Linked DNA regions of Drosophila melanogaster. The protein of the gene in region 1 interacts with the protein of each later gene in a biochemical or structural test. Each region holds a gene or a part of one and is shown in the gene's direction. Other genes may lie near its edges. The genes, in order: bcd, Sin3A and Bin1.

Region 1 (6,802 bases):
TCCAGCCTGATTCCTGATCAGCCCCGGGCCAAGTTTCCCCCTAAAACCCATCGAGGTTAACCCGGCTTTACTCTGCGAGATGATTGATGACGACGCTGTCTGTCTGGCGAAGAAATTCCCCCGAAGAGCGACGAAACTATGGCCACAGTTTCTGGAAAATTAAATCACATCTTAAATCGTTTCGGTGACTTCTGCTGAAATGAGGCCGTTCCCATGGGAGGACAACTGCATCTGTCGTCCGAACTTGGACCCCCGCACTCTCACTCGTACTGCCCATCTGCCGGAATCCTCGTCGCTGAGTGCACATTCGAATCAGATAATTGTAAATTGTGTAAAATAATAAATTTCCAGTTAACTATCAACGGACCGCATAGGGCGCTTCTATTCCGTCCCTTTCTCGCTGCCCACTGACGGCTCTCCTTGTCCTCAGCTGCATCCCGGCAGCGTCATTATGACCATTGCGGCGATGCCTCTTGGATGCAGGTTCAGGTCCTGGTCCAGGTCCTGGCAGGTCCGGCTGCTTCATGCAACGCTCGACTTGGCCCGACCGAACTGGACACACACCGAAACCGAACGAAAGAGACGGCTAGACGGCGTGCGACAGAGAGGGCTGCCGCTCGCATTCAGGCGCAAGCGGATCCAAAACAGAAAATGTCAAATTTTGTAATTTATTACCCGAATCCTGTTTCTGTCAGTGACTCTTTGGGTGTTTCGCTTCAGCAGCGGCACACACGGGGGCATTCAGCATTCAGGGTCGCCGAGCGGGGAAGGGAGAAGTCCTTTGTCACACACTGCGTCTGAATTTGTGGCCCAGTTCCGCACAGTGGTATCTAGCAGATACTTTTTGTAATATTTGTAAGAATGCACAGAACTTCGTTACATTCAGAGATTTCTAGTTTCTAGTCAGATGACTAAATACAATATTATGTGTCAAAGTAATTAATTTTGTTTTTGAATAAATTTCTAAAATATCAGCTTGCCTTTAACGTAAATATAGCCTTTTCTACCTATCTTTATCTGATATAAAAAAGTAGCATTTGAAATGCTGTTGTTGCAATGGTATCGAATTGGTATTAAAGCTCTGGCCCTGTTTAATTTGTATTTGTAGTCAGAGCAACCACTGTACCTTTGTGTGTATCCTTGGGCTTTGCCTATGCGAACGTATTTTGTTTGCCTTTTGGCTGCACTCCGACTCCGTCGACTGGAGTGTCTGTGAATTGACTTTTGTTGCCAGTTGGCAGCGGCAGAAGCAGCAAAGCCCGGCCAACAGCAACAAGCTCCTGCCAGATCCCAAAAGCAAACACGACAATTATTTGGCAAATGTCATTAAAAAATATTTCACTTAAGGCCTTGCGACACTTGCTTAAAGGTCAACTGGCTCGTTGGGTGTGTTTTAAAATGTTAAAGCTTGGGCCAATGCACTGAGCAACTTAATGCTTGTAGATATTTACACAATATTCTTCAACGCTAAACATATCGAATTTTCCAAATATGGAGCCTGAAAATAATAATTGCCAATCCTAGCTTAACATCAGAAATGAGTAGAACAACTTAAAAAAAATTAACAAAAGAATCGAACGCTACAGCTAATTAACTCGACAACTGGTTACCTTTTATTCTTCTAATACATTTTATAATGCACTGCCTAACAGGTACATATAGCAAGCACTATATGCTGTCTTACAAAACGATTATATGATATTTTCTTTCGTACGTAGCCGTTTGAGATCATTTGGAAAAACAAACTCGATCTCCACCATCCTTATTCTTTGTCCCAAGTCCTTATATATCTCGCGATACTAAGATTGAATAATGTAGTTATTAATAGCGGAAGTATGTAACAGAATAAACTACAAAGTGCACATTTTGTTCAATTCAGGCTGGACTGGACTGGAGCATATTAATATTATAATATTAACAAAAATTCAAATTAAACATTCGACACTTGTCTAATTGATTCCTAAATTTGGGGTGCCTGTTTGTTAATTAAATGTTAATATTATGAAGTTCCAAACAGAGCAAAGAGTTTAAGTTTAATTGGTTCTACTTATTTGTTACAATATTCAAGCTTTTTTTTATTATTATTCTCAAATGCAAATCTCTACAAATAAATAAACCTCCGACGTTTTAGAACATTCACCTTTTGTCAGTGAGCACAACCTTTCAATACAGCCCGACAGGGGGCTCTCTACTGCTGTCTCTTCACGCCCCCTGGTGAAAACGCTGTGCACTCAATCGGTTTGCAGCTTTGCCGTACTGTTCGATTAAAAACTTTTAAATTAGAGGCAAACATTTAAAAATAAAATGTCCAAATATTTGTCTAAAATGTATTGTAGACGCTTATTGATTTTTAAATTACTCAAAAGAATGAACATCGAGGGAGGGCCGCCAATTGTGCCATCTCTACATCTCTTCGCTCATCCCTAAATAACGGCACTCTGCAGATGCGAAGCAGTGGATCGCAAAAACGCAAAATGTGGGCGAAATAAGTTCGCGAGCGTCTCGAAAGTAACCGGTTACTGAAAATACAAGAAAGTTTCCACACTCCTTTGCCATTTTTCCGCGCGGCGCTTGGAAATTCGTAAAGATAACGCGGCGGAGTGTTTGGGGAAAATGGCGCAACCGCCGCCAGATCAAAACTTTTACCATCATCCGCTGCCCCACACGCACACACATCCGCATCCGCACTCCCATCCGCATCCGCACTCGCATCCGCACCCACATCACCAACATCCGCAGCTTCAGTTGCCGCCACAATTCCGAAATCCCTTCGATTTGGTGAGTTCCCATCGCAGCAGAGAAGGGCTCTTGTCCCAGGAAAGCTACAGTACAGATTCCCTATGGTGAACAAACAACCAGTGCGATCACTGATGACCATAAACATTTATTGAGCCGCAGCAAATGTGTTTCTAGAACATAGGGCGAAATCTTCTATTATCTTGTTTGTGACTTTTAAAGTATCGTAGCAGAATCTAAAAACCAATTGATATTATTAATCGTTACAGTTAGTATAGTATATAATTGTATATGAATTGTGGGGCATCATGTTATTAGTGATTTGCCGAAATGTTCTAAAAGGTGTTTCATTGAAATGGACGAATGTTAAACCTGTTGCACTCACACCGACAATCAGTAATGTCTATTTTTCAAAAGCCACATCTATGGCCACTGGGTATACATTATTGACTTTATACACTTCATACAACATATTTTCTAAAACAAGCATTGTTGTCCTGCATGATGATTAGTGAAAGTAATATTGCAAGATTCGGTCCCCGAAGCGAATCGTCCTTTCACGTTTTTATATAAAGACAGTGTACCCCTTGATTCTTTGAAGCTTTTCGATGAGCGAACGGGAGCGATAAACTACAACTACATACGTCCGTATCTGCCCAACCAGATGCCCAAGCCAGGTGAGCTCAAAGCCAACAAAGTCAGCCATCGTCTTATCAGATGTCTTTCCCTCAGAGGAGCTGCCCGACTCTCTGGTGATGCGGCGACCACGTCGCACCCGCACCACTTTTACCAGCTCTCAAATAGCAGAGCTGGAGCAGCACTTTCTGCAGGGACGATACCTCACAGCCCCCCGACTTGCGGATCTGTCAGCGAAACTAGCCCTGGGCACAGCCCAGGTGAAGATATGGTTTAAGAACCGTCGGCGTCGTCACAAGATCCAATCGGATCAGCACAAGGACCAGTCCTACGAGGGGATGCCTCTCTCGCCGGGTATGAAACAGAGCGATGGCGATCCCCCCAGCTTGCAGACTCTTAGCTTGGGTGGAGGAGCCACGCCCAACGCTTTGACTCCGTCACCCACGCCCTCAACGCCCACTGCACACATGACGGAGCACTACAGCGAGTCATTCAACGCCTACTACAACTACAATGGAGGCCACAATCACGCCCAGGCCAATCGTCACATGCACATGCAGTATCCTTCCGGAGGGGGGCCAGGACCTGGGTCGACCAATGTCAATGGCGGCCAGTTCTTCCAGCAGCAGCAGGTCCATAATCACCAGCAGCAACTGCACCACCAGGGCAACCACGTGCCGCACCAGATGCAGCAGCAGCAACAGCAGGCTCAGCAGCAGCAATACCATCACTTTGACTTCCAGCAAAAGCAAGCCAGCGCCTGTCGCGTCCTGGTCAAGGACGAACCGGAGGCCGACTACAACTTCAACAGCTCGTACTACATGCGATCGGGAATGTCTGGCGCCACTGCATCGGCATCCGCTGTGGCCCGAGGCGCTGCCTCGCCGGGCTCCGAGGTCTACGAGCCATTAACACCCAAGAATGACGAAAGTCCGAGTCTGTGTGGCATCGGCATCGGCGGACCTTGCGCCATCGCCGTTGGCGAGACGGAGGCGGCCGACGACATGGACGACGGAACGAGCAAGAAGACGACGCTACAGGTCAGGCATGAGTCCACAACCTTTTTTGATCTCTTGATTCTGAGTGTGGCGTTTATAAATTGAAGCTTTAAGCTTTGTAACTTTCAAACTGTCTGGTTTGAGATGTTATTCTGAAAGTACTTCTATTTCCGATCGATGAGATTTGGGAGTTCTCCAATATTTAACATTTAACTTATTAAGTTTTTGTTTTCTAAATTAGACATGGCATTTCTGAAAGGGAAGTACAAGTGTTAAAGATGTATTTTAATATAGAATTTGTATCAAAGGTTAAGATTTCAACCGTTTGAAAGCCCTTAGTTTTCAGGGTTTTTTACTTTTTTATTCATGTAATCACTCTTAATACACTGCAAGTTAAAATAGCATTTCTTTGACCAGAAAAATAAGATCTATGCATTTTAAAAGTGAAAACAGACTCATATGCTGATGAACATTTTTAGCTATAAATTGTAACAATAATTTAGCAATTTCAATCGAATTTATTTATGTTCTAAATGCGTTCGCTCTCTCCCTAGATCTTGGAGCCTTTGAAGGGTCTGGACAAGAGCTGCGACGATGGCAGTAGCGACGACATGAGCACCGGAATAAGAGCCTTAGCAGGAACCGGAAATCGTGGAGCGGCATTTGCCAAATTTGGCAAGCCTTCGCCCCCACAAGGCCCTCAGCCGCCCCTCGGAATGGGGGGCGTGGCCATGGGCGAATCGAACCAATATCAATGCACGATGGATACGATAATGCAAGCGTATAATCCCCATCGGAACGCCGCGGGCAACTCGCAGTTTGCCTACTGCTTCAATTAGCCTGGATGAGAGGCGTGTTAGAGAGTTTCATTAGCTTTAGGTTAACCACTGTTGTTCCTGATTGTACAAATACCAAGTGATTGTAGATATCTACGCGTAGAAAGTTAGGTCTAGTCCTAAGATCCGTGTAAATGGTTCCCAGGGAAGTTTTATGTACTAGCCTAGTCAGCAGGCCGCACGGATTCCAGTGCATATCTTAGTGATACTCCAGTTAACTCTATACTTTCCCTGCAATACGCTATTCGCCTTAGATGTATCTGGGTGGCTGCTCCACTAAAGCCCGGGAATATGCAACCAGTTACATTTGAGGCCATTTGGGCTTAAGCGTATTCCATGGAAAGTTATCGTCCCACATTTCGGAAATTATATTCCGAGCCAGCAAGAAAATCTTCTCTGTTACAATTTGACATAGCTAAAAACTGTACTAATCAAAATGAAAAATGTTTCTCTTGGGCGTAATCTCATACAATGATTACCCTTAAAGATCGAACATTTAAACAATAATATTTGATATGATATTTTCAATTTCTATGCTATGCCAAAGTGTCTGACATAATCAAACATTTGCGCATTCTTTGACCAAGAATAGTCAGCAAATTGTATTTTCAATCAATGCAGACCATTTGTTTCAGATTCGGAGATTTTTTGCTGCCAAACGGAATAACTATCATAGCTCACATTCTATTTACATCACTAAGAAGAGCATTGCAATCTGTTAGGCCTCAAGTTTAATTTTAAAATGCTGCACCTTTGATGTTGTCTCTTTAAGCTTTGTATTTTTAATTACGAAAATATATAAGAACTACTCTACTCGGGTAAATTGTGACTAACTACACATAACTACATACTTAGCCCATATTTCCGTCCCTTTCTAGAATGAACGAAAACAGTATCTGGTTTTCCCGAAAATCTTATGAATTTAAAAATGCACTTTATTGCACATACTCACACATGCCTGCCATAAAATATGATTCGCGATTTTTCCGCGAACACCCGCGGATCATAAAACATTTGCACCAGCTGCCTGTGTTTATTCACCTACCTGAAACCCATACTCTTATCGCCTGATCCTCGCGCGGTCGCACTATTTAGGTAGACACTGTACAGGCAGCACTCGCGGGGCGCCGCCAGGCAACTTGTTGCCCCTATTTTCTTTGATATAAGTTTTGGGAAATCCAGAAGTCCAATAACGGGGCCTATATGAACGAATATTGATTGGGTTTCTCCCAGTTATAGAGTTTTTATTGATCTTGGGCGCGTTTTAGTAGGTGGATTATGGATGTCCTGGGAAAACCAAGCTCTGAATCCATTCTTACTTATCACAAGACTTGTTTTCCTGTGCCCTTCATCACACCTAGTTTAACTACTATAATTAATAAACTACTTTTTAATCCGCCATTTATGAAGATAATTTATAGCATCTATGCATCTTTCAAATATCGCGAGATATCGCAAAGTATTCATAAATTAGTTTTTTATTGATATTGTAAAGCTTTTTAATTTGGTTCAGGTTTTTATTGTAAATACTTTTCACAATTGTGCACAGTGACCCATTAACATGGTTGCGATATTAACTTAAGACTTAAACAAGTT
Region 2 (5,404 bases), on another chromosome or scaffold:
TTATAGTTTTGATGAGAATTAATACTAAAGTTAAATATTTTATAGTAAAGTTTTCCATTTACTGTGTTGTCAATTTTTTAGGACAAACAAACAATAAATAACAAAAAGTTTTTATCACATTAAATATCATGTGACTCAAGAGAGTTAAAAACATCTGATAATTTGCAGAACACGTACGAATATCAAACTAATTAGTTTTTTTTATAGAAATGGGTCCGTGTGACAGGAACCTCTTTACCACATTTCAGATATCACTTGATCAGCGTCAGTTAATATTTCCTAGTGCCGCATTCCATGACAGATCTGAAATTAGCACAGGAATAATTAGAACATGCTAGACCACCTGGCTTTATTATCAATAGAAAAAAGCATCAATAATACCCAATGGGAGGGCAAACAAACCTTCCTGCGGCGCCTGGAAGTCGGAGAGTTTGGTTTGTGCCATTTTTTTGTTTGGTCCAGGGACTTTGGTGCACCTCGGACATGCGCTGCACCCAGTAGCTAGTTAGTTGCATGTGAACTTTGAACTTTCGAGCTGGAAAGTGGAAGGCGGATTTGCATTTCCTATCGCTGCAGGTGTCTCACAAAGAGAGAGGCTCTCTCGTATCCTCCGCCCCCGCTGCATTTTTTTCATTGCGCAATGAGCGAGACGAATCGATAACTGCAAGGTTTCCATGTTTTAGCAGCTCAACTTTTGCGCGTATACAGATTTTTTGTCTGTATTATTTTATTTTGTGAAGGAGCTGGCCGCCGAATTCAGTTCGATTCGAGATGGGAACATGTGTTTTTATGGTTCCGCCATTGTCATGGTGAGATGCACTTGCTTTTTTTTGTCTTCATATTTTTACTTCCTCTCTCCGCACGCACGCGTCTGTGTGTGAGTGCGCTGGCGAGTGAGGTGGTGGAGGAGTACATGAGTGTGTAAAGTGTAGCCGTGGCAGAGTTGTAGCTCGCTAGTGGTCCGTTTGGTTTCTGATTTTCGGTTTCGTCGATTTCACATATGTACTGCAATGGTCGGCTAAAACGCTCTGCCGACGTCGCTATCTGCTGTATACTCGTTGCGCTTGTGTGGGTGCGCTGCTCTCACACCCGCTCTCTCTCTTTGGCTCAAACAGGGTGTCTTACCCAGATGTTCTGATCATCGTTTCCACCACATGGCTGGGTGACAATGGTACACCCTGTTTTCTAAACAACTTGTTTTCTCTCTTCCCAGCGTTGTTGTTGGTCCTCGCACTTACGTAAGCCTCACGTATTTCGTTTCTTATCCAAATTCTAAGCGCCATTTTGCGACTATTTGCATGCGGTACCGCTCACCGCTAATAAAAATAACCACTGATTGTGATTATTTGCTAATAGGTAATGAATGGTATATAAACTATTTTTGCCGTCAGCTACTGATGTGTTTTCAACGCGCTCGACGGAGGATTTTAGTTGTTGCGCCGTTGAGTTGCCACCCTGTTTTAGCTGCGGCAGCAGAATAAAATGAATTCCAAAGCAACACTGCGCGCGCGCTCTCACGCTCTCCGTTTTACACTCATTTCGCTCTCTCTGCTGACTCCAAATGACTGGCCGTCGCGTTTCGCTGTTTTAATCGAAAATGTTTGCGGCGGCGTTGAGATGTACGAAAACGTTCTCTCGCCAAAAATTTGTGAATAGAATAGCAGTAGCAATCTATCGAGAAGAAAATGTCTTAAATTCGAGCCGTGTGATCTAGTTAAGGTCTTAGAGCCAAGTGCAAATTGATTGAAATAAGCGTTAAACTTAAACTGAACTGGAGAACGAAGCCCCAGCTACTGAAAGAAAAGAAAACGGTGAAAATAAAGATTTCGGTGTGCCAGTGAGTGCGAATATAGTAGTTGCATGTGCAAAATACTGCGTAAAACGTGAAAGTTTCCAATAACACCACAAAACCAACGGCAGTTTTGTAGTAAATATACATACGCGCCCCGTACATATATACATACATTTCGAATATACATACACACAGCCGAATATCAACCGACGAAGCTAACTGCTTATTGCTGATGTAAGTGTAATATGGGCGGTGGGCGGTTGTGGGGGGCGTGAAAATTGCAGAGTAGCATTATCCTTCAAGTGCACTTGGAGTGCGGATTCGAGTTCAAACAATATTTTCGTTCGTGCCACTGAAAACTTGTGAAAATACAACATTTTTAGGTTAGGTCAATTTCAATTGGTTTATATACACACGCACGCACAAACTCACACACACACAAACAACAATGGCATAGCGAATACATATAGAAGGCGCACAGACAAAAAGTCGTCGACGGGGACGTGGTTGTTGTTTGTGTTGCTGCTGCTGCTGCCTCTACAGTTTCTGCTCTCCTCACACACAGTTGAACACAGTTGTGGAGAGGAGAGCCACACTCATACATACGCTTTGAACCATTGCTTTTGGTTCGCTTATGAACTGACTGTATTTTTTCAACGTAGTGTCGTTTTATTTTCGTTGTTGATTCGTTCTTTGCTCAGTTCGTGCGCTTATCTTGACTTTTGCTTTGATGCGCCATTCGCATGTACTGGCGAGAGCAGCCTAGTGTGAGTGTGCATTTAAATGGCTCCCCAATGAGAGCATCATTTTGTGGCCCTCTTTTTGTTCAGATCTTCCTTTTGCTCCTCTTCTTCATGCTCCCCAGCCCATCCGTCGTTTGTTGTTCTTGCTCCGCCTGTTTTTTTTCATTCGGTTTTGAATTTACACAAAACGTTTGCCGTTGCTTCTTCATGCTGAAATAGTATATATGTATGTGAATATATTGTACATATTTCTCTACACATCCATATGTTTTATTTGCAAAATTTATTAATAGCGCAGCGCCACTCCGCGGCTGTGTTAGTGCGCCAGAGTGAGAAAGTAACAGTAAAAAACTAAATATTAATTCGCGTTGATTCCGATTCGTATTGCAGTTGTTCAAAACCGAGTGCTAGTGATATTTGCAAAAAATTTAACATATTTTCCGCTGGCTGCCTTTTGTGTTGCGTATTCTGCTGTGCTGTGTATACACATAACAAAACAGATAAGATAACATTATACGTGTGCACGTAATAGAGCGGGCTGAATCAAAAAAAAAAAAAAAGAAAAAATGGAGGGAAAATTTGCCCACATGTCTCCCCAAAGCACACACACGCACACAACGCCCCAATTTGGAGCCTCTCTCGTCAAACACTCACACACACCAGCAAGCGAGTAAATGTGTTTGGTATGCACTAATGGCGGATCCAAAAATACAATAACAACAAAGACAGTTGGGAGAGCTCAAAAGAGCGAACTTGTTTTACCTTCATTTATTAAAGGATAGTTGGTGGTGGCAGAGACAGGAGAGAGAACGAGGGCTAAAGCTTTTGTGCGGCTGTACTGTGCTCCAATATTTGTTTACAAATGCTAAAAGGGGGCAGCTGTTGGTTCGATGGGGTGTTTCAATTAGTTGGAGCAGGATGATCCTCTAGGCGGTTTCCATTCACCTAATATTTGCTCGCGGTCTTTGGTTTGCGCAGCGTTGCGCTCTCTTCATTTTTGCCGCTCTCTCTCTCGAATGCCCGCCAAATGCTTGCTGTGTCCGTGTGTGAGTTTGGCCCCAAACGGGTGAAATACCTTTTTGAAAAAAAAAAAATCATCCATATACTGCGCCTCAACAACAAATGCGGCTCTCTCTGGTTCTCTCTGTGGCTGCACCACCACCACCGTATCGCCACCACCACCTTTGCATTGTTGCGTTTGCTGCTGCTGTTACCTCTGACTCTTCTTCTTCTTATTCTTGTAAGTTGTAGATACAGAACATGTACCAGCAGCTCTCACACACCACCCGCCCGCCCCCTTGGCGGTATCGATATATAAATATTTTCTATGTGTGCGTCTGAATTCTATGCAAGCCGATGTCGTGCATGGGGCATTTGGCACCTTCCACATTCACAAATACTGATATGTACACACATACACACACACTCGGAGGTGTACACAGAAAGCTCGCTTAGGAAGTTTTTACTGTACCGCTGAAAGCAATAACAAAGCGCGCGCCCAATTCCGGTTGAACGTACACACACTAAAGTGAATTACGCGCTCCTCCTTATGCCTTGCACTCACTCTCCTCCAAGACTCAACTTCCACTCCACGATCTCCTTCCCGTCTATATGTATCAATCTCTGGTTGCTGTTGTTGTTATTGGTCACAGCTCCACTGCTTCATTCCATTCCTATTGTCCCTCATCTCACTCTTCTCCCCCGAATCCAGAACACCCAATACAGAGACACCGTTCTCCACTCTGTAGTTTTTGTGATACGGCTAAAAGAAGAATTCCCCCGTGGCTTTTTAGTTCACCTTTTTTCTTGTTGAAATATGCAATCGTTCCGATATCTGTGAAGATATAGACCGAATTGATCAATCAGCTGTGCTATACTAGCTAACATGTTTTGGGAAAATTAGCAAGACTCGTGGTCTTTAATATATGGAAAAGTATATTTGGCATATTTGTCCTTTCATTTCAGTGTCAGTGAATAAATTCTAGTATTAATGTGTAAGATTGTTCCAGTAATGCAGAATTTAATGATGACTAACTTCATTAAAAATAGACCCAAACCTAATTCTTGGGGGTTTTTATACATTTAATGTCGACATTATTGTATGACCGTTTCCCTTCTCTTGCTTTGCTTGCAGTGATATTCAGAAAGAACTCCAAACGCTACGTGGCAGAGGCGAATCACCGGCGCAGCAACACCAGCAGCAGATAACCAGCCGTCAGTCCAATTTCTCTACCTTAGAACTCGAGCGCATTTGCCGCTTGCGGGGCGACCAAATGCATAGACAACATATGTCGCATTCACGAGCAGTCCAAGATCAAGAGTTGCGACCCCGACCGTTTGTTGCATATTACATACGCTCATAGAGGGCGGCCACTCACCTAGAGCAGCCAGAGTCCTTGCACTTGGGCAGGGATCCAGGGAGCAACAAAGTGCTTAGAAAGAAGAAGCAGCAGCACAGGATTATACGCTCCGCCGAGGACAGAGCAACAAAAAAGATGATGAAACGCACTCGCGTAGACGAGGTGCAATTTGGCACACGACCCGTTCCTCAGACCTCCGGAGGTGTGGGCGTTGGTGTCGTCGGCGTAACTGGAGGTGGGCCAACATCCGGCGGCGGTGGCACTGCTACTGTGGGCGTCAATACGACGGGCGTTACCATTGGTACCGTCGTGCCCAGTGCTCATAACGCCACCATCAGCGGGATCGGTTCCATTCACCATCGCATCCTTACTCCACAGCATGGAGGAGCACAAACCATTGCCTATTTGCCGTCCACCACGCCGACGGCTACGAATTTGAAGACCACAACCTCGATTGTGGATAGCACTACCGCTGGAGGACCAGTAGGAGCAGGAGCACAGGTGGCCGT
Region 3 (6,512 bases), 9.4 Mb from region 1:
TTTCGATTGACCTTCGACGAAATTGTAAATTCTAATGCGGCCCCCATACACATACCATAACAGCTCATCCATCCCCGCCCACTACTTTTACAAATTGGATTGTTATCACTCAAAGTCCTTGGGCGATTCCGAGGAGTTTTCACTTGCCTCAGACTCAAACTGATTCGACCAGCCCCTTTGTTGTCGACTGTCACTCGCAACTGTGCGGCTCCAAGTGCAAATGTATCTGTGTATCTGTAGGTTTCTGTGTGCGCCCGTCTTGTCAGCGCTTTGACATGAAAATAGTTTGGGCCAACTTGGCTATGCAAAAGCGATTTCTATTAGGAGCCGCCATCGCCGACATGTGCTGCCGAAATTCGGTGATTTGGGTAGGATGAAGAGATTACCAAAAGTTTACAGTGGTTCTTGCTTCCAAGCAAGGAAGGAATTAAAATCCTGTTCAGCAAATATTCCAATAAATCGCTTTTAAGCAAGTGTTATCAGCAGTTCAATGTTGAGTTCAACCGGTTGAAACCCGCTGGTTATCGTAAATCATGGCCACGGTAGTTCCCTCGATTCGCTTCTTATCGCGACGACAGTCCCCACTGACGCACCAAATGGACGTATTTAGACTCCATAGATAACATTTGGCTATTGTTACTATGGTTAATTGAGACATTTACAACTCAAGTATACCTCAAGTCAAGCAGAACATACGTATGCGCGCATATACAGTCGAATGGAATCGACGTCGCTGCCAATCAGGCCGATGTGTTAAGTGAGTTAGGGGCACTTTTGCTTTTGGGACGTGACGTCAGTGCAAACTGCAGCTAGATCCAGTCAAGCCAATTGACGAAAGAGCCGACGGCAGCGGTCTGTACGTATTCAATTCATCAATTGGCAAAACCCTGGCAAAAAGGCAAGAAGATGGAAAACAAAACAAAAGCGAACGCAAACAGAAATAGCATAAAATGGACAACAGACGCGACAACACAGGCACCAATCGTAGGGGCAAAAATTATGAGTTGCTTTTATTTTAAAATCGTTTCATTTATTTTGCGTCAGCAGCGCCTCTCAATGAGGAAACGCTGCGTATACATAATTTTCTGGCCACATATACGCACTCCCATATCTTTCTCCCATCGATTCAGTGGTCGTTCGCAATCAAAGGCACAGACGAGTGATCTTTCCTTGGCCTTTTGCAGTCTCTTAAAGACGGGTTGTTTTCGAGTGTTTTTTGCAGCAGAATGGTAATCAGAATGCTCTCGGCAATTCTTTATTGAACGACCGTTCAATAAATTTCACAAAAGGAAATGTTATCAGCGGGTATTCTTAAAATAACTCAATCTTTAACAACTTATATTTGGAATCAATCACATCAACCCGTAATCAGATAACTGATAACATTTTAGAGGAAATAGTTTGTACCGGCACATTAACAAGTTAATGGTTTTGTTATTCGCCTTATCGTGAAATACTGTAAATAAATTTTTTAATTGCTTTTCGAAAGTAGTTGTTTACAACTTAATTTATCAGAGTGTTTTTGTTCTCCGCTCAGAATTAATCACGAAGTGGGGTGGTAATCCAGATTAACATAAGAAAAAAACAATTTTAAAATATAATATTAAGTCGCCATTATGCATGAGTAACAACTAACAAATTGCTATAAATAATAGGAGATAATCTTGAATACTGCTAGAAAGTGTAATACAATGTAAGGCAATTAAATGTGCAATAAAATCAATGTTATTATCAGCATGATTGTATATGTCGGAGCGCGACTCTTCGCATTCCAGAAATTCCTTCTGTGATTTCATATTCTGATGAAATTGTAATATTGCGGTAAAATTCTGTCGAGCGCTGCGGCAGAGGCACGAACAGCCTCTGCAGCTGAGTGAGGTCCGATCGAGTGGTCATAAATAGTGTGTTAGAGAGAGATGACAATGTGGCACACGCCAGTGTGTATAGCCATTAGAGAATATGATGAAGAAGGGACATGTAAGAAGATCCCTTCAGTGAAGTTTGACTGCTGACGTCGATCGGAACTTGCTGCGCTGACGTACAAAATCGCGAAGTGAATAAATAATATGGATGAGACTCCTGTTTCGCCGACATATACAATAGTGCTCAAGACCCTAATGGAATTATACGTTAATAACCAGCCACATTTCTTAGATATTTCTAATATGAGCCATCTGCTGCAGGTTCTTTCCAATATCTAATTCTAGATCTTCTTCGAATACGACCTTTTTGGCCATGAAACGATGATTTGCCACTTCATTCACAAGCATTAATTTGTCATGATTCTCTTAAGCGTGCACTTTATCTGAAAGTCTGAACAGCTGGCTGCGAAATGGATTCCCCGGATTGGAAATGGCAAGTAAATCTGTCCTCGCTACAAACAAGTGGGCACCACTGGGCATTCGGGGAATAGGGATATGGGTAGGAATGGGGATATATTGTGGCATTGGCGAAAGGTCGCTATGCAAAGCCAAGGTCGAGACTTACACCCAGGACATTGTGTTGTGCGGCTGGCAGTAGAAACGCCCACGCACACGCCCCTGTCAACTGGCCGGGTAAAAAATAGAATCAAATACATATGTATACAGAACAGGAGTTGAAGCAAAGCTCGCATTTTATTTGCATTTGTGAATTTATTGCTTTCGGTTACGTCTGCTTCGCCTTGCCACTTTTCCAAACTCGTTGTGCTGCTGCTTGGGGAATTTTCGGAAATTCGAAGTGATTGGGTTTGGAGCAGTAGCCAAGGGCTTCTACTGTTGCTCAAAGCAATTAATATTTGAGAAAAAATAACGAAAACGAAGTAAGGCGGCAGCAACAAAGCGACCGCAACAGTGGCAACAAATCGCCCCACACCGCACGTCTTCAGTTTACAACCAAGGACTTGGCACGTTTAAAATTCAGCCAGCAGCCGCAGCAACGAACACGGACAGTGGGCGGAATTTAATTTCGAAAAACATATTACTTTATTGTTCACATCTTTACCCACCTTCCGATTCGAGTACATACGATTCCACTGAAGCCACTGAAGACTTACTTCACTTAAAGTACATTTTCTTCAACTTCGTGGGGTCTTTCTAGAACTTAAGACTTATTCTAACTTAAAAAGACTATAAAGTTTTTAAACATTCCGTTGTTTTGTCAAATTTGAATAATTTACGAATGTGAATTTGTCGCAGAAGTATTGCTGAGTATTATCTTTATAAATTTTTCATTTTTTAAAGTGACTAAAGAAACAGCTTTAATGCGTCTTACTTCATATTGGTCATCCCGACCACAGTGCACTGGTTACCAAAGTATGCGATAACAATAACATCGTCCACTATGTGGTCGTTGCTGGGGTTACGGGCAGTCAGTCACGGTCACGGCTGCAACCCCTCCGCTCCGGCCAAAACGAGTCCACAGAACAATGGCCAAGGACGAAGGGGGGGGAGGGGGGATTCAATAACAACAGCAGGAACAACAAACATTCTGCTCCCACGCAAGAGCAGCAGGAACTGTGGCAAAAACAGCTGCTGCAGGATCAACGAGGTGGGAGTGGATTCGAGGACTTTAAAACACGAGCCAACTAAAAATATTCAGACACGCCGAAGCGAAAATACCCTTTAGCAGGGGGTTAATTCAAGTGGGGTATTTTCCCCTTCTAGTGTTTTTCTTTTACCAGGGTAATCACAGATTCTGTTTCTGTGCACTTAAACGGGGTTTATTCCGTTTCTAAAAATATCAAATGTCTGGATTGACTTATTTCTTGGTATTTGACTAAAAATAAAAACAAATATGCAGCTTTTGGGAAACTGATTCCTTGTTGACACAATAGAAACCACCATATGACCACACCTTCCACGCTACTGCAATAACTAGAACATTTAGAACAACAAACAGAATGGCACTATTATCGGCAAATGATGGCGCATGCATAAAAATGAGGAGATCGAAAGTGGGTGGCTGGGGATGGGATAACCTTGTACTTCTTGAGATAAAAACAGTTCAGTATTTAGCAGCGGCTTATTCCTGAATGTTTATAAACAAATCGAGCGAGAGAGCGATGCATAAATGAAATATGAGGGGGGGTGAAGGGTGGTTGCAAAGAGGGTGACTTTTCGCAGACGCTGCGGCACCAACACAAGCAAAGCAACGGCAACAATTTGCACGTAAAACTCAGCTGCTGCTGCTGCTGCTGTTGCCGTTACATAAGAAACTCTTGCAAAAAGTGCAAATCTCAATTCGGTATGCAAATGGACCGCTGCCACAATGTACTCACCGTTTTTAGAAACTATTCAGTGGCCAAATTGCGATTCTGCTTTTATGCGCCAATAACAAACGGCTCTTCTCCACCGTTGTTGTTGCTCTCCTCCTTGTTGTTGTGGTCGCAGCTACTGCTTAGCGAAGCAGTTGTTATTGTTGTTGCGGCAACAGTAATTTGCAAGTGCACCGCTATTGTTGAATGTTTTTAGACGATTGTCATGCCAGTGGAAGCTTCCAGTCTGCGTCATTCGCGGAGACGCGTAGTTTCACGTTCGACGACACAACCGCTCACAGCGAATTTTGTTTTCGGACTAGAGCTGAGAAACGGCGAATTTTGGTGCTTCTGGAAACATCGATTAAACTAAAACCCGATAAGTATGCGACAAGCGGTCACACTCGGCGATGTGCGATAGGATTGCTGCATTCGATTATATAGTTATCGAAAAGAGCAAAGAGAAGCCGGAATATACGGCATTAAAAGTGCATTTTGTATTAAAATTAAGAAAATTAGTAACGATATACCGCAGAATAGGGAGACATGGCCAACGTGGAATCTATGATTGTGGAGGAAAAGACGCAGGTCAAGCAGATTGACCGCGAGAAGGTTTGTTTGTGACCCCGGTCATGTTTACTTCGCGTTTGCTCTAGATGTGTTAATAAGTTTATGTATTTTCCAGACCTGTCCTATGCTGCTCCGTGTCTTCTGCTCTACGGGACGACACCACTCCGTGTCGGAGTATATGTTCGGCAACGTGCCCACCAACGAGCTTCAGATTTACACCTGGCAAGACGCCACCCTGCACGAACTGACCTCTCTGGTGCGAGACGTCAATCCGGACACCCGGAAGAAGGGCACCTACTTTGACTTTGCTGTCGTGTACCCCAACTTCCGGAGTAATCACTTCCAGATGCGCGAAATCGGAGTGACCTGCACGGGTCAAAAAGGAATCGATGATAATAAGACACTTGCTCAGGCCAAATTCAGCATTGGAGACTTTCTGGACATCTCGATTACTCCGCCCAACCGACTGCCGCCAACCGCCAGGCGCCAGCGTCCGTACTGATTCTTCACTTTCATCTATTCTAATCATTTTAATCTTTCACTTGACACTCAATGGAGTATGAACATAATTATAAGTGGAATACAAGTAAGACGAACTACGAGCTGCTTGACTTAAGGGACTATATGTTGTGGGGAGTATCAGTTCCTGTAAAAGCCGTTCGGGCGCTTCGACTTCTTCTTGCCCAACTGCGTCATGTCGATCTCCAGACCATTGGGCAGCACGGCGCGATTCTCTTCGTAGTTGACGAACCCGTTCTCTTGTAGCTCTTCCTCGTTGTTGCGGTTGTTAGGATCGCACTTGATTCCAGTCTCATAGTGGTACTCACGTTTGTTGCCATCTGGATCAACGTAGCCATAGGTTCCCCTGGTGAACGAGAAGTTTGGGTAAGTGGGAGAAAGAGGTTGGATTCAATCTGTTTTACTCACTTGGTGATGCAATCGGTGCCGATCAGCTCCTCCTTGAAAGATCCGTCGTCGTTCTCATAGCCCCATGTGATGCTTCCGTCCTCGTTTTCCTCACGCCACTTGCGAATGGTCTGGGAAACGGGCTGACGGCGACGCTGCTGCTGCTGGTCAACGTGATCGTCCTGTAGCTGATTTTGATCAATGATGGGACGCGGCTGGACAGGCTTAGGGCGTGGCCTGGCCATAGGCTGTGGTGGTGGTGATTCAGGTCGTAGGGCAGCGGAAGACGCTGGTCTTGTTCGGATCACAGCCACCCGCTGGGGCTGTTGTTGCGGTGGTGGTGGCGCTGCTGCAGTGGGCGTAGGTCGCTCCAATCCGAATCTCTGCGAGTTCTCAAACCGACCAATGCCAAAATCATTGAAGGCGGCGGGACGGTTCAGGGGCGTCGGAATAGATGGCCGTTCAGCGGGGAAGCGCGAGGAAGGAGGAGGCAGGATGGCAGCCGGCTGTGAGTCATCGGACTGAAGGAACTGCTGCACCGGCGAGGGTTGTTCAACGGGTTGTTGGCCGGCCAGGAAGGCGGCTGCTGCCTGCTGGAACTGTGATTGTTGGGCCTGAGCCAACTGCTGTTCCCGCAGAAGGTTCGGCAGATATGGCTCCGGCTGCTCATCCTCCGCTGATTCCGTCACAGGACGCGGTTCCTCAATGGCGATGCGCTGCGTCACCGCTGGAAGTATGGTATTCTGCTGGCGCAATGAGGCTCCTGGACGGCGTACTCTCAACACAGGCTGTCGGTGGGGCA

The links.
Region 2: the proteins of bcd (region 1) and Sin3A form a complex in vitro, tested with the Drosophila melanogaster proteins (one study listed by BioGRID).
Region 3: the proteins of bcd (region 1) and Bin1 form a complex in vitro, tested with the Drosophila melanogaster proteins (one study listed by BioGRID).

What each region holds. Positions count from the first base shown.
Region 1 is NT_033777.3:6,755,083-6,761,884, reverse strand, and holds bcd (bicoid), read left to right. Parts: upstream 1-2,418; 5' UTR 2,419-2,613; coding exon 2,614-2,778; intron 2,779-3,315; exon of another isoform or gene 3,316-3,337; coding exon 3,338-3,413; intron 3,414-3,453; coding exon 3,454-4,412; intron 4,413-4,924; coding exon 4,925-5,209; 3' UTR 5,210-6,043; downstream 6,044-6,802. UniProt on the Drosophila melanogaster protein: Segment polarity transcription factor that provides positional cues for the development of head and thoracic segments.
Region 2 is NT_033778.4:12,585,338-12,590,741, reverse strand, and holds the start of Sin3A (Sin3A), read left to right. Parts: upstream 1-1,589; 5' UTR 1,590-2,026; intron 2,027-4,669; 5' UTR 4,670-5,030; coding exon 5,031-5,404.
Region 3 is NT_033777.3:16,185,046-16,191,557, reverse strand, and holds Bin1 (bicoid interacting protein 1), read left to right. Parts: upstream 1-1,993; 5' UTR 1,994-2,355; exon of another isoform or gene 2,356-4,451; 5' UTR 4,452-4,780; coding exon 4,781-4,846; intron 4,847-4,919; coding exon 4,920-5,306; 3' UTR 5,307-5,402; downstream 5,403-6,512. Other genes in the region: CG8927 (uncharacterized protein), read right to left, coding at 5,444-5,669, 5,732-6,512. UniProt on the Drosophila melanogaster protein: Involved in the tethering of the SIN3 complex to core histone proteins. Interacts with bicoid (bcd) to repress transcription of bicoid target genes in the anterior tip of the embryo; a process known as retraction.